Rhinolophus ferrumequinum: one gene and its partner. The protein of the gene in region 2 purifies or fractionates together with the protein of the main gene of each other region. This does not show direct contact. Links are inferred from orthologs where the notes say so. Each region holds a gene or a part of one and is shown on either strand. Other genes may lie near its edges.

The links. Proteins that work in one complex are often made in the same cells at the same time.
Region 1: the proteins of PSME1 (region 2) and PSMD6 purify together in Homo sapiens (affinity purification with western blotting; 3 studies listed by BioGRID and IntAct, with this or other methods). This does not show direct contact. The link is inferred for Rhinolophus ferrumequinum from reciprocal best matches to the Homo sapiens genes PSME1 and PSMD6.

What each region holds. Positions count from the first base shown.
Region 1 is NC_046300.1:58,045,405-58,052,964, forward strand, and holds the start of PSMD6 (26S proteasome non-ATPase regulatory subunit 6), read right to left. Parts: upstream 3,002-7,560; 5' UTR 2,908-3,001; coding exon 2,763-2,907; intron 1,996-2,762; coding exon 1,790-1,995; intron 1-1,789.
Region 2 is NC_046289.1:74,300,036-74,307,847, reverse strand, and holds PSME1 (proteasome activator complex subunit 1), read right to left. Parts: upstream 3,005-7,812; 5' UTR 2,763-3,004; coding exon 2,724-2,762; intron 2,146-2,723; coding exon 2,113-2,145; intron 1,968-2,112; coding exon 1,905-1,967; intron 1,786-1,904; coding exon 1,675-1,785; intron 1,587-1,674; coding exon 1,541-1,586; intron 1,423-1,540; coding exon 1,325-1,422; intron 1,071-1,324; coding exon 1,002-1,070; intron 918-1,001; coding exon 850-917; intron 743-849; coding exon 688-742; intron 613-687; coding exon 526-612; intron 352-525; coding exon 271-351; 3' UTR 125-270; downstream 1-124. Other genes in the region: EMC9 (ER membrane protein complex subunit 9), read left to right, coding at 1-74; FITM1 (fat storage-inducing transmembrane protein 1), read right to left, coding at 5,122-5,734, 6,120-6,385. UniProt on the Homo sapiens protein: Implicated in immunoproteasome assembly and required for efficient antigen processing. The PA28 activator complex enhances the generation of class I binding peptides by altering the cleavage pattern of the proteasome.

The DNA of each region.
Region 1 (7,560 bases), on a different chromosome or scaffold from region 2:
AGAAACCAGGGATCCTGGGAAAAGTAGATGATTCCAGGTTTGGAGAGTGAAAATATCAGGGGAGCCTGTGACATCTTGCTGCATGAGAAAATAAGGAAGACCAACGTCAAAAGGACAAAGGCGGCTTCTCGAAAGAGCTCCCATGAATAAATCTGTAACAAACTGGGCACCATAAAAGAATAATAACTATAATCAGTGGTAACACAGTGAATAAAAATCCATTAAGTGTATTATTTAGTAGTTGTAAATAAGAGGACACGGGAGAAATAGAAGCTGTTCTTTTTAGAATAATGCTTTTTGATAAACAGAATACTGGAACATCACTCATTTACAACGCCCCGATATTGATTCAAGCATGTTCTTGTTGAAATTCCTCAAGGTCTGAATCAAAAGCGTTAAGTCTCTCATTCATATGTAATAACGTATCCTCTTTAAAATCAAATCAAATCAAATCAAACCTACACACAGCCTAGAAAACCACACAAAGTATTAGGTATTTTTAAAATGTTCTGTATTTTCCGAAGTTTTACAATGACCGAATCTTAGATTTAGAATCAGAAGAAGAAAACTTGTTTTAAATTTAAATTAAATAATAATAGCGCCTATCATTTAACATTTAAGCACTTTGTGCCACGTACTAGTCTAAGCTCTTTGCCTTTGTTTTTAATTCTCATTATGCAGGAACTATCATTATCCCTATTTTACAGATGAGGAAACTGAGGGGCCAGTAAATCATAATTACTGAAACTGGAAACAGAAACTAGGCAATCTGATCCAAGAGCCCAGAACATTTTATTCTTTTTATATTAACACTATGTCATCTGTCATCTAAATACTTTAGGGTACAGTGTTTAAAATTAAGGATATTCAAAGCCCATCATCTTAACCACTATTACACAACTACTAAATTTAAAAACTTTAAAGACCCAATACTGTTGGGTATCCCTCTCTGCACTGATAGTGGAGTATTAATTAGGTTGGCTGCTATGTGGAAGAACTGAACACACATATTAAGATAAAAATCATTCCTTGTCCCAGCAGTTTCAATGTACAGAATATACCCTAGAGAAATATTAGCATATATACTCAAGAAAGCATATACAAGCATGTTTTTACAGCAGCAGCTTGTAATAGCAAAAACAGCTGAAAACAACATACATGTCCATCAATAGCTGAATAGCTAAATAAACTATGGCACAGCCCTACAAGGCTATTAGCTTCACAAACGGGATATGAATACACTATGGCCCATTTATTTAAAAAAAAAATTTAAACACGATACTACCTAATTTCTACAGGTACATTTAGATGCCCATAAAAGTACAATAAAAGAACTCAAAAGGTTACCTTTGAGGAGGTAGGGAATAAAGATCAAACAGAACTTTAATATTAACTATATAATGTTTTAGTTTCTTATAAGATTATTACTTGTGTAAAGAATACTTTTAAAAAGACACCAGAAACGATGCTTCCCAACCAAGATAAGTGAGAAAAGTGAACTACTGAGAATGATCCCAATTTTGTAAAAGCAGTAAACAAAAATCTCTGCTTGTGCACTTCAGTTTTTATTGGTAGAAAGAGAGATGGGGAAGAATACACACCTGGTTGCTGTGATAGGGTGTAGCAAGAAGACTTTTTCTCTTTATTCATTTTTTGCACTGATTCACTAGTTCAGGTAAGCACATTACATTTAAATTTTTTTTTAAAGGAAGCTGATTTTAAAGACATTACCAACTTAGAATAGTGCCCCTTCTAGACTGTCCGGAGCGGGGAAACCACCTCTACTCACCTTGTCACCTATCCGGCACAGGTACTCTGCCTTCGTCATCATGGCATCGCGGATTTCGCTCTCTCCAAGATTCTTTTCTGCATCTTCCAGCATCTCATCCAAACGTTTCAACTCTTCTTCATTTGCCTTCTTCATTTTATTAAGCAGGTCCATGTCCATCTGCCAGTCCAGGGATTTGCACAAGGCTTCATAATAAGGAGCCATGTCTGAGAGCCAAAAATAGGGACGTGACTTAGTAGCAAGGGACCCCTTGTACCCTAGAGTCAGTGTCCACCCCCTTCTTACACACACACACACACACACACACACACACACACACACGTAGGTCATCCACCAGCCTCCTACTCACTACCAGGAAGGAATGGGATAGAGCCTGGTAAAGGGCTTGGCAAAACCTAAGTGTTTGCTGCCGGCGGGTCTGCATCAGGGCCGATCGTGGCACTGCCAACCTCTAGTGGGGCTCGGTTTGCCTCTTGATGGCTTGTGTTCCAAGCGTCTTCAAGCAACGTAAAGGGTAAGCTTGTTCATTCACCCACTCAGACACGTATGATCAAGTACATACAGCGCAGAGCCACTGCCTGCCAGGAGCCGAGGCAGCGGCCCGGGTTTCCGACGCACGGGCAGCGCCTCGCCTGCAGGACTACCTCCAGCCCCGCTCCGCTCGCTAACGACAGGAAGTCTCTGCTCTGTGCCAAGCGCGGGGCTAACGACCTCAGGGCTCCCCCCAGGCTGCTCTCCGAGGGGAAGCGCCCACACCGCTGCAGACCCCTTTGAGAGCAAGGCCGCGCGGTCCCCGAAGGCTCCCCCAACAAGAGGAAGGTCCTGAGGGTGTGAGAGGCCAGGCCTGGCCTCGCGGACCCCATGCGGGGGGCGCCCCGGGGTCCGGAGCCCCGCCGGGGCAAACCCCCGCAGGCTCCGGGGCGCGGGGCCAGCCCCGGCCTAGGCCGCTGACTCGGCGCTCGCGCGGACTCACTGTTGTCGCGGACGGCCGCCATCAGCTCGTCGCGCACGGCCGCGTCCCCACGGTGCTCGGGCAGGCTGAGCAGGAAGCGCAGCTGCGCGATGCGCAGGTCGGGGTTCTTGGGCAGACCCTCCTCCTCCAGGTTCTCCAGGGGCATCTCGGCGGCGGCGGCGGCGGCGGCGGCGGCGGCTCAGAGCAGACAGCGACTCAGCGCGGACCCGCGGCGGCGGCGGCGGCGGAAGCGGAGGAGGCGGCGAGCGCGCCCCGCAGCCTCCCGCCCGGCTTCCGGTCCGGGCTCCCCCTCCAGCTGCAGCGTCCCCTCCCGGTCAGGTCCGGGAACGCTCAGCGGGCGGAGCGCCTGCGCCCGGGACAGGCGCCCGAGCTTCCCTCGCGCGGGGCTCCGCGAGTCTCCGAGTGTCTGAAGCCCAATTCCGGAGTTCGACTTCGGGAACTTCTTCCTTCCTCTCTTTTTAGCTGTTTTACTTTTCACTCCGTTTGTAATTGATAGGAGCTGACAATCTTTTGAAGATTTTGAGAATATAATAACAACAATAAAAACAACTATCACAGTTTATCAAGGGCTTAATTCTTTGCCTGGCCTTTTACGTGTGTCATTGTCCGGACAGAGTCCCAGAGAGCAGTTTCTAGACTCTCGGCCTTATGTGGAAAGGTGCTGGCTCCGGTAGTAAATGGCCATCAGCTGTGATCAGATGGCCATCCGCTGTGGCTGGATGGCCATCCGCTGTTACCCGTTAGCCATTAGCCACTAATATAACTGCCATGGCTTGGCTAGGGGGTTGGGTTAGTTGACAGAGAAGCGGAGGGGATTGAGTCTAGCAAGTGTGGTTAGCAAGCTGAAGGCAGATTGCGGGATCCTGTAGATCCTACTTCCTGTGTGCCCCCCCTCCCGGCCAGCGAGACTGGGGTGCAGGAAGACCCCTCCTTGGGGTACTGGAGGATGTTTGCTCTTGTGTCTCTATTGGCAGCCATCAAGAATATCGTGGTATGACTCCTCTGTCTATGGCTCTGTTGTTGTTCCTTTTTGGCATCACCATATCCTGTGTTCTTGTGCGGGGAGTGGGAGCTGAGACCCTCCCTGCACAACAATCATCTCATTTTAATCCTGTTATTACTAGGAGGTAGTACTATTAGCCCATTTTGTAGATAAGAAAACTGAGGCACAAAGAGGTTAGGGAACATGATCAAGCAAGATATGTAACAGTTACGTAGCAATGCTCGAAAAGAAAAATCGGTAGCTCTAAAACCAGTGTTCTTTCGCTATTCTAAGAAAACAGCACCCAGAATTCTAGTCTTAATACAACATCATCATGTTATTTAAACATAATTTAAATTATTGCATGCCTGCATTTTCAGCCTCTTATTATTCATGTTACTACAGAGGCTTCAGAATTGGTAATGGTTATATGAAATTCCATCTAATGTATTACCATAATTTACTTTTACTCTTCCCTCCATTAGAGATGCCTTTACATTATCCAGGGTTGTTATTTTCCTGACATAAAAACTGAGATGAACACCACTAGATTCATAGGTCATTTCATAATTTGCATTTGTTTTCCTTAGCATGAATTCCCACAAAGGATTAACAGACAAGACAAAAGGAAAAAACGTTTTGTGATTTTTGCATAGCTAATGTCAAATGGTTTTCCAAAAGAGTTGAACCAGTTTACACAGTCACTGCCAAATTCTCACCAGCAGTAGACATCACCACACATTTTTAATATCTTACCTGTTTTGGTAAAAATAAAGTAAGCATTCTGAAGGCAACTCAAATGGTACAGAAAATATACAGGACACAGAAAAAATTACTAGCACTCCACCATGGTAAATTATTGGTGAAGAACTTTCTAAATATCTTTCATTCGTTCATTCGACAAACATTATTGCCTGGTTGCAAAGTACCAGGCGCTGTTCTAGGCACGAAGGATACATTAGTGAAGAACACAAAGCCCTTGTCCTGGTGGAACTTACATTCTAGAGACACTTAACTTCACTGAAACCCAGTTAGATATATTAATAGGGTCATATTGTACTTGTACCTTACAAACTTTTCTGTTCACTGTATCACTCATTTACTGTAGATATCTTTTCATGCCAATAGAAGTGGATTGATATCATCACTTCTAATGACCAACCAGATAGAATTCCATTATTTTTATGTACCAACTTTTTTGCCATCAATCTTTAATTGATATTGATTTCACCCTTATAAATACCACAATGCTGATCATTTGTGTGCATACATTTTCATACTTCATAATTCTTAATCCAAATCCCTAGAAGTGTAACTGCTAAATAAGAGGGTCTGAATGTTTTATTTTTTGACATACAAGGTCAGACAATTAAGTTTGCGAATTCATCCTAGTAAAACTGCTCCATACCTCAGTGCTGAATATCACTATGGTCACCTTCAAAGTACTCCCCTTGGGAAGCTATGCACCCAGGCCAGCACCTAGTCCAGCCTTCAAAGCAATTTTGGAACTCTTTTTCTGGAATGGCCATCAGAGCTGTTGTCATATTACCCTTGATGTCCTGAATGTCATCCAAATGTCTTCCTTTCAATATTTCCTTTATATTCGGGCAAAGAAAAAAGTCATTGGGGGCCAGATCAGGTGAGTAGGGAGGATGTTCCAATACAGTTATTTGTTTACTGGCTAAAAATTCCCCCACAATCCCTTGTGAGATGGTACATTGTGGTGACGCAAGAGCCATGGAATTGTTGGCCAAAAGTTCAGATCATCTAACTTTTTCATGCAGCCTTTTCAGCACTTCCAAATAGTAAACTTGGTTAACTGTTTGTCCAGTTGATACAAATTCATAATGAATAATCCCTCTGATATAATAAAAAGGGTAGCAGCATCGTTGCAACAAGTCCGCAAACTTAATTGTCAGACCTCATATAAGGATTATGTAAATTATTATTTCAAAAATGATATAACAATTTACATTCTGACCAATATTAAACAGAGAGCCCATCTCCCTCTTTGCCAATATACTTTTAGCAACCATTTTAAGCTTTAGCAACAATAACAATGTTGCTTTTCCTTTACATTTCTTTTCTTATTATGAGGTTGGGTTTCTTTTCACATTTGAACTAGCTATGTATAGTTCCTCTTCTATGAAATATCTGTTTTGCTTTCTCAATTCTTCCATGGAATTTTCCTTACTGATTTGTAAGCACTCTTCATATCTTGAGGATACTAAATTCTTTTCAAGTGTTGCAAATTTTCCTAGTTGTTTTTCTATATTTTAATGAAACTTTTTCAACATAAAAGTTTACAATGTTTATATGGTTAAATACATCAGTCTTTTCCTTTATGGTCTCTGTTCTTATTGCCAAGTCTTAGTAAGACCTTTCCAACACCATGGTTTGAAAAGTATTCACTCATGTTTTCCTCTGGTATATTTACGCTGTCATGTGCATTGAGTGCACCCAGTACCTAGAAGACAGCTTGGCACCTAGTAGGCACCCACAAATATTTCTTGAATAAATGGGGGAGGGGAGGCTCCAGAAGAAAGTGTCCAAGAAGAAGAAACATATCAAATACAAGATGAGTTAGAAAATACTGAGAATAAATTGATACTCTTGCCGGTGAGTTCAGGGGTGAGATAGTTATAGAAACTTAATTCTAAAATACTTCAAGACTCAATTGTGAATAACATTTAAGTAGTTATAACAGTTCAAATGCTAGGCATGGATGGAGGCAGAGTTACAATAAATAGACTGGAGGATGGAGAGCGGGCAGGGGACGAATGAGAGTGGAATGGGAAGTCAGCCAGGAATCGTGGGGACAAGCAGTCTGGAACCAGATCCAGATTGCTGTGCTCTATCTCCACAGCTCCCCTCGGTTCTTGTCCCCCCCCCCTTTTTTTTTTCAGCCGGGACTGAACTTATTCTCAGAGGATCTGAGAAAATGTGTATCTGTGTGAACTTTATTTTCCATAATACAGAGTTAAAAGCTAATATCTAAAACTGGAAAAGAGGATAAAGCAGCACACGGCAATTGTTTAGAAATATAGGGGCCAAAACTACAAGACACACGTTAGAAGTGTTGGTCTCTGGACAGCAGGATTCTACAGTTGCTTTGTTTTGTTTGAAGTCTCTGCTTAGAATTTATAATTCTGAAGGTTTTTAATTTACAAAATTTGTTGCCTCCTAAAATAATAGTACTTCTTCATGGACACATATGGGTGTGTTTCCTTAACTGTATTAGTCACTGTTGACATCGCTAGAAACCTGCGTCACTGGTGGAGGTTTTTCACTTGAGGAATTACATTAACCCCACAGACATGAGGGTGAATTCTGAGGCAATGAGTACCCTTGAATGAACATCATGAACTGATCACAGTGAATGCTGAAGCAATTTTTACTTTTATACTTGGGATGCTTTTACTGCCCAGTATTCAAAGAGCCTCATATTCTTTCTCTCAGCTCAGTTTTCAAATTTTTATGTCAATATAAATTTCTCGGGTAATTATGTGAAAATATTCATTTCTGTAATTAGATTTATTATTTCAGGTTGAACCCCAGCTTTAAAAAAAAATCCAACATAAATATTGCCCAAGGGCGGCAGGTTGGCTCAGTTGTTTAGAGCACGGTGCTTGTAACACCAAGGTCACCGGTTCAGTTCCCACATGGGCCAGTGAGCTGCACCCTCCACAACTAGATTGAAAATAATGACGTGACTTGGAGCTGATGGGTCCTGGAAAAACACACTGTTCCCCAATATTCCCCAATAAAAATTTTTTTTAAAGTATTACCCAATGTTAGAAAACTGAGAACTAAGAC
Region 2 (7,812 bases):
GGCAGGACTGGACCAACCAGCAGCTTAACACTCGAATCACCCAGTGGGTTGGTCCCTCCAATGGAAATGTCTGAGCCAGGGCCGGGGTACATGTGTCAAGATCCAATAAAGAGACTTGAGCTGATGGGTATTGTTACGACTATATTTATTGTGCCTGGGAGGCAAGGGGAGGGAGAAACCTCAACAGGTGGAAGGTGGGGCAAAGTCTGAAGTCCCCTGTCAAAGATAGGACGGTCTCTGCTGGATCCACCACAGTATGAGAGGAGGCGCTCAATAGATCATTCCCTTTGTTTCTCCCCTGGGCTTCTTGAGCTTCTCGAAGTTCTTCAGGATGATGTCATATAACACAGCCTACATGGCCAGGGAGGAGTGGGGATCAGTTGTAGGCCCCAGCTCTATGCCCCATTTCTAACCTTGTGGTGAGACTGAACTTGGTCATCCATCACTCCCAGCCTGCAGGGTCAGGGAGTGGGTGGCCTGAGAAAGCTGCCTCTACCCACCCTTGCCCCACCCTTTTCTCCTCACATAAGCATTGCGGATCTCCATGACCATCAGCCGGATGTCCCGGTACTCTGCTTCATCCAGCTCGTGCACCAGCTGCCGATAATCACCCTGCAGGAGACCTGGGTCAGGCCTCACTTCAAATATATCCTTCCCCCCATATACCCTGACCTCGGCCTCACCTACCACATGGGGCTGCTTGGCGGCTTTGGTCACGGCATCACCCCGCTCAGAGAAATACCTGTGGGAAGTAGAAAGGTGTGGAACAGGAGAAGGAGGAGAGAGCCCAGGCCTCTGTCCAAGCCAAAGGCTGAGTGTGCATGCAGGTACAGTTGGGCAGACACTCACTTGGAGATTTGAGTGTGGAAGCCTTCCAGCTTGGTGTGAAGGGCGGTCATCAGCTCAAACACCTTCTCCTGAGGAAAGAATGCAAGAGGTAAAGTGGAAAACAGCATGGACTAGAGACATAAGGAGGGTGGAGGAGTGGGCAGCGCTCTCACCTGAACAGCTACTCCAAAATTGTTTCCATCCTCAATTCGAGGTATCTGCAGCTGCAACCAGGTGGTGACCTGGGAGGAGGGAAAGGCATCAAAGCCACATCAGCCCTCAACCCAATTCCCAGGTTCCTGTCCTTCCTTGTTTCCCTGCCCACAGTGGGTGTAGGTATGCCAGGTCCATCTTGAGTCCCAGGGCCTGGACTTCTGGCTTCATTTGCTGTGCCCTCTCCTGCTAAGACCTGGCAAGTGCCATGCCCTAACTGGCAGGGACCAAGGAAGACAAAGGGTTTGACCTAAAGCCTGGCGGTGGCAGTGGTAGGGCTCACCAGGTTAAGCTGCTCAATGACATCCTTGATCTCAGGCTTTAGGCGCTGCAGGAGGCTCACAATCTTTTCGTTGCAGTTCACTGGGCCACAGGGAGGACCTAGAGAGCGGACAATGGGTCAGGCACATGGCTGGGACTGCGGGAGGGGTGGGGAAGAAGAATCCTTCAGGAGGAGCTCCTGGGAGGTGAGGCTCATCCTTTGCCACCATAGTAGTACCTTTGTCTTCATCTTCCCCTTTCTTCTTTTCATCCTTGTCTTCCTTCTGCAGGGAAAGAGGGGCTCTCGGGAGTCAGGCCCAAGGCTGATATTCCCCATGGTTGGCTCCCTCCTCCCAGCTCTTCCCAGCTTGCCTCCTGCTGTTTCTTCCGCTCCTCCTTTTCTTTCTCCTTGACTGGATCAGGCACTGGGATGTCCAAAGGGGCTTTCAGATTGCTCAGATTGGCTTCGTTGAGAGCTGGCTCCTGGTGCAGGGTAGGAGGAGGGCTGGAGGCAAGGGCATCTCTCTCACCTCCTCACTCACATGGCCCCTCAGACTCTCCCCTTGGCTCCTACTCTCTAGCTCCCTGCCCAGCCCCAGTACCTTTAAAAATGCATCCAACTCAGAAATCTTCTTGGGGAAGTAGCTCCCGAGCAGGCTCTCTGTCTGGGAGTGAGGTGAGGCAGGGGAGGATGGAGGTCAGAATCCAACGCCCTTCTCGGGTAGTGAAGCAGGGCTGAAGCTGCCCACCAATGAAAGGCTAAGCAGTGGGAGATGGGTAGGAACGGGGTACTGAGGGGGCGGTTCTTACCTTGGTACACAGGTCTTCACGGAACACATCCACCTGTGGGGTACAGGCAGCCCTTCAGACACCTGGCTTTATGGCCAGTTCATATGAGGACCGGTCCCTTAGGATTGTGTAGGGCCTGGCCTGGGCAAAGGTGGAGTGGATCCCCTTGGGGCGGGATTTGGGGGATGAGAACATTCCTGGCGGTGAAGTGGTTCAAGTGACAACAGATCCCTCGGGTCTCCTGGGCTGTTATAAGGAGAGGTGTAAGAGCCTTCTGTGACTCGGGCTGGGACGGAGTGGGCCCCGGGGTCCTCCCCGTGAGAAAAGCAACGAGGTGACAAGGCAGGTTCCGCACCCAGACTGTGTGTGGGCCCGGCCCCGGGCCAGCGGACTTCCCCTCCACGCTGGTTCTCCGCTTCACCTCACCCCGCTTCACTCAGCCGCCTCTCCAATCCCGGCAGGCGGACCCCGCCGGTCTCCCTGAGGCTCAGGTGCTCCGGGCACAGAGGCTCACTTGGACTCGATACTGACCCCGACTCACGTCTGGGGGCTAGGGGGCGGCAGCCTGACGCCCTCAGCCTTTCGGCGCCACGCCTCCCTAATGGGCCCTTCCTCGAACCCGCAGCGCTCACCTTGGCTTGGGCTTCAGGCTGGACCCTGAGCGTGGCCATGGCCGGGGCGGGGAGCCTAACGCCGCACGAGGAGCGAGGAGTGGGCACTGTGAAGGGAAAGCGAAAGCAGCGCGCGGAATGCGCGCGGCCTTCCTGGGTAGAGGGGAGTGGAGGCACTGGGGGAGGCGGGGACAGTCCGGAGAGAAGAGAGGGCTGGGGGGGCGGAGGAAGGCCGCTCAGGCGGGGCTCCCTCTACTGCTAGAGAGCAGCGTTTCCACCGACCTCCTCCGCCCGCTCCGCCCATCCCACCTTTCCATCCCACCTCGCCCGCCTCTCGACGCCCCGCCTCCGCCTCCCTCTCCCCCTCCCCGCCCTGCTCCCGACGCCCCGCCTCCCCCTTCCCACCTCCTCGCCGAAGTCGGTCTCTCGACTCCCCGCCTACTGCCTCCGCCCACCCCGCCTCTTCCCTCCCGCCCTGCTCTCGACACGCCGCCACCTCCTCCATCCTCTTTGCTCTCTTTCCGCTCCAGGCGTTACTGCTTCCACTTCTCGCTTCCTCTCTTCACAAGGCCCGACATCTCCTGCCACCCAGCCCAGTGCCCGCCTTTGGACTCCCCGCCTCCCATCTCTCTCTGCCTTGTGACTGCTGGCTCTCTTCTTCACCTGCTCGGCCTGGGACAGTGATAAGCCTTATCTGACCCTCTTCCATCTTTCCTCAGCGGTGGATCAAGACCTGGTCTCCCTTCGCTAGCACTGCCAGCCTGGGCTCCTGGCTCCACGGGCATCCTCTGGCCGTGCAGTGACATTCAGACGCCGGCACCACTCCAACCCAGTCAGCTCTCTCCTAACCCTTGTGTGGACTCCATTGCTCTGTAGCCCGCTTTCCACACAGCAGCAGGATCCCTCTCCTTGTTTATAACTCTTTCTCAGTTTCCCGTTGACCTTGGGATGAAATCCTCAGGGCTTTCCTGGCCCCTAAGGCCTGCCTGGACTACCTGACACCTGTTGCCATTCAACTTCACTCTCTACTGCGTTTGCCCCGTTTACTTTACACTTGTAAATACCTGGCTTTTCATTTGTTGTCGGTATCACTTTCATTCCTGCCCGTTTTAGGGCTTTTGCCCTGGCTAATACTTTTGCCTGGCACACCCTGCCCCTGCCTCACGTTGTCTGTCATTCCTTTTTCCGTGCAAATATCACTTCGTCAGAGAGAACTGTCCATCATTCTTTATAAAGTACCTCCCTGTATTACAAAGCAGCCTGGTTTAGTAACTTCATAGCACTTGGCTCTGATATTAGTTTAATTTTTGAGGATAGTGTGGTTTACACCAGGGTTGGCAAACTTTTTCTGTAAAAGGCCAGATAGTAAATATTTTAGGCTTTGTGGGCTATATATAGTGTCCGTAGCAACTACACTACTCAAGTCTGCCATTGTAGCAGGTAAACAGTTATAACTAAATAAATTAGCATGGCTAGGTTCCAATAAAACTTTATGGGCATAAATTTGAATTTCATGTAATTTTCAGATATCATGAAATGTTCTTTAATTTTTTTTTCAACCATTAAAAAAATGTAAGAACCATTCTTAGCAATCAGGCCATACAAAAAATGACCACAGGAGGGCTGTCTGTGCTTAGAGCACAGACAACAGACCCATAGTGCCCCGGGGTTTTAATCCTGACTGATAATTTACTAGCTGTGAACAAGTTACCTAACCTCTGTGCCTTTTTGCAACCGTACAGTGGGAACACTACCAAACCTACTTCATAGCGTTGTTGTGAGTGTTAAATGTGTTAAATTTATATAAAGAACTTTAAGACAATTAGAATGTTGCCTGGCACGGAGTAAGCACAATGCAGTTTTGCTATTATTATTTGTGAATTTATCATCTGCCTCCCCCAGTAAACCATAAGCCCCCAAGCAGCAAAAACCCTGTCTCCCTTATTCACAAGGTCTGAAGCTATGTTTGGCTCAATAAACATCTGTTAAATAAATGAGTACACATAGAGCCCTATGGGGAAGAAAGGGTGGGAAGGGTCCCTGAGTAGGGTGCCTAGATAGGCAGCTCCTAGAGGAAGGCGGAAGGGGATTCAGTGGAGCAGGGGGGCGGGGGAGTAAATCAACCAGGCTGTAGACAGAGTGCTGCACAGCAGGAATGCTGCCCATACCTAAGTGCGTTGTTACCTGGCCCTAGCAGTGCCACTCCTTGACATCAGAGCCTCAGATAGCTCGAAGTCTGCAAGGACTAGAAGACTGAAAGGACAGCAGGAGACATGGCCATCAAGCATAAGGAAGGACATTCAAGGAATGGTTGAGGAACCCCAGCGACCATCAGCCTTTTCACCCTTTCCACCCTTTCCAGGTCCCCCACCAAATGATGAGAGGGGCCAGAGCCAGGCCTAATGTGCCTTTATTTCTTTCAGTTGTGCTTGCGGCTGGAGTGGGGGCGAGGGAAGAGCCCATGGCCGGGGCTCCCTGGAGACCAGGGCTGATGATACCAGCTGCCGTAGGTGAGGTACCAGGCAAAGGTGCCCACTGCAGCGCCCACCACTTTGTGAGTATACTGGTGGAAGTAGATGACGGTACAGAGCAGCAAGAAGTTCCAGAGGCCCAGCAGCAGCACGTTGAGCAGGAAGACGAGGCGCAGGGGTGCACCAGCAGGTAGCCCATGGGCCAGGTACTTGGCGAATACTGCTGCTTCCTCAGCCATGAGCAGGCAGCAGAAGGTGAGCAGGAAGGTATGGGAGGAGACCGTGTAGCCCCGCCACTGGTGGCCGGCCGCCAGGCAGCTGCGTCGGTCGGGCAGCTCGTGAAGCAGCAGGCCCTGGGGCAGAGGCTCCAAGCAGGAGCCGGTCAGGTCCTCGATGAGCAGAAAGGCCCGGCCGGCCCCCCGCCACACAGCTGCCCCCACCACTAGCCGGCTAAGGTGCCGGGCAGTCACTGCCACGCGCCGTGTAGCGAGGAACACCACCAGCAACACGAAGCCCCCCAGGAAGGTGCATGTCCAGCCCCATGCCGAGTTCACAAACTTTCTGTGGGCAGAGAAGGGAGGCTAGTGAGACCTCGTAGCCCTATCTTTCCACCCTGGTCTGTGTTCCCATCACTGCTCTGTTGCCAGTTCTATATTTCATCACTGGCTTTCTGGGTCCTGTGCCTTCTACCACACCACCCCCGTGCACTTAAACTTTGCCATCTCCTGAAAGACTCACTCAGCCTTCTATGGTCCATATTTCCTCGTCAGCCCTGCTCCTGACTTCCCCTGTACCCCCACAACGCTGTCCCCTCCCCCTCCTCTGACCTTCTCCTCAACCTTCTAGCCTATTTTTAGTGCCTGGACTGGCAGGAGGACAGAAGCCTGGAGGGAGCTAGGATCCCAGAATGGAGGGAGCCGGCGCCCACGGCCTCGCGTGGACTCACATGTTGAAGAAGTTGCCGTGGCTGGCGAAGATAGTCCGAGGGTTGACATGGAACTGCAGAAGGGGCCCAAAGATGACCACTGCTGCCAACCACGCATGGTAGAGGCGCCGTAAGCAGGGGCTGCCCAGGAGGCGAGCAGCCTGTTCACTCCCAAAGTACAGCAAGGCAGAGGCCACCCAGAGCAGCACCTTGACCAGGCAGCCCAGCAGTGCCCGGATTCGGGCCCCGGCCCCCAGCCCTGCCCCCACCACCGGCCCCCGCTCCATGTTCCCTCCCCTCCCCACTAACTGCTTGCTCTGCTGGGCAGCTGAGGAGGGGCTGATGGGGCCCCCCCTGCACAAGGACAGGCAGTGACAGGTGTGGCAGACACAGAGCAGAGCCCTGTTGGCAGCTGGTAGGCGGGGGAGAGGGGCGGGGGGCAGTAAGGGGCCAGGGTGGAGGGGTGCCACGTCAGCAGGGTCCCAGCCTTGGGTGTGTGTCCTTATTGCGGTCCGTGTCCTTTCCTGTTAGCCCTGTGTCCCCTTGGCTCTCTAGGTCTGTGTCCCAAGCTGTAACCATGGTCTAGTTCATGTTTCAGGGCCAGACCTGCTGTTCCGGGTTGTCTTTGTCCATAGCCTGCTTGGGTCTGCCTGTCTGGTCAGCCAGTTAACCATACCCCACCCCAATTTTACTGTGTGTTTGCTCCACAGGGAGATCAGGGGTCAGGAACATAAAACTAACCAAACCTTGGAGGTCATTTAAAAAAATCTGTGTCTGCCTCATCATCATCGTGGCCCAGCTTCTCTCCTCAGGTCTGAGCACAGGAGCTCACCACTGAGCCTGCAGCAAGATGGCCGTGCACTGCATTGTTTCCAACTCAGGCCTGGGAAGCACGTCAGCAGGGTTACCCACTTTTCTGCACTGGGACCTCAGGGGCTTGGCGCAGCCCCAGCTTGTCTGGTCTGAGCTCTGAGGGGTTAGCTTGGGTCTAGGGCTGCTGTGTAAACCATGGTTGTGCAATGCACAAGACATCAGATCTAAAGGGGGCCCTTCTTTGGTATGTTTATTATGATGGCCAACAGATGAAATTCAAGTGTCCTGAAAAGGGCATATTATATGAGATGGTGATGGTTTAGGTTGGACTCTCAGAGTCCCCAAAAGTAGGTTTACTCCTAGGTGATGGCGAAAGCAGGGTGGAGATCTAGACGAAAAATCCTCAGCCATCAAAACATAGGCTGTGTCTTCTAACCAATTACCCTAGGCTCAGCCATACCTAAGACTTAGCTTCTCGGCCTGACTACAGGGGCTGGAGCCACAGTATGGAGTGCAACCTACCCAAGAGATGTCCCTATTATTCAGTAACTGTTTTGCAGTCCCTTTTTGTCTTCCTCATTCCTCAAAATTGGTGGTGGGATTTCAGAGCACAGTGGAGGCCTGCGAAGTAGTGAAAGGAATGAACTTAAGGATACCTGAGTTCTGGGCCCAACTATGTGACTTTGGGAAAATCAACTCACTCTCCTTGGTCCTCAGTGCCCTCCTCTGCAAACTGATCAAGATGGATTAATCAATCAGGTTCCTTCCAGATCCTGAAGCCCATCCTTCAGCCTAATTTCTGCTCATGGACCCTATACACGAATACCTATAGAACCCTCATACATTTTTAAGTCAACAAAAAATTTTTCATAGTAATTTTAAAAGTTGCAAAGGACATAGT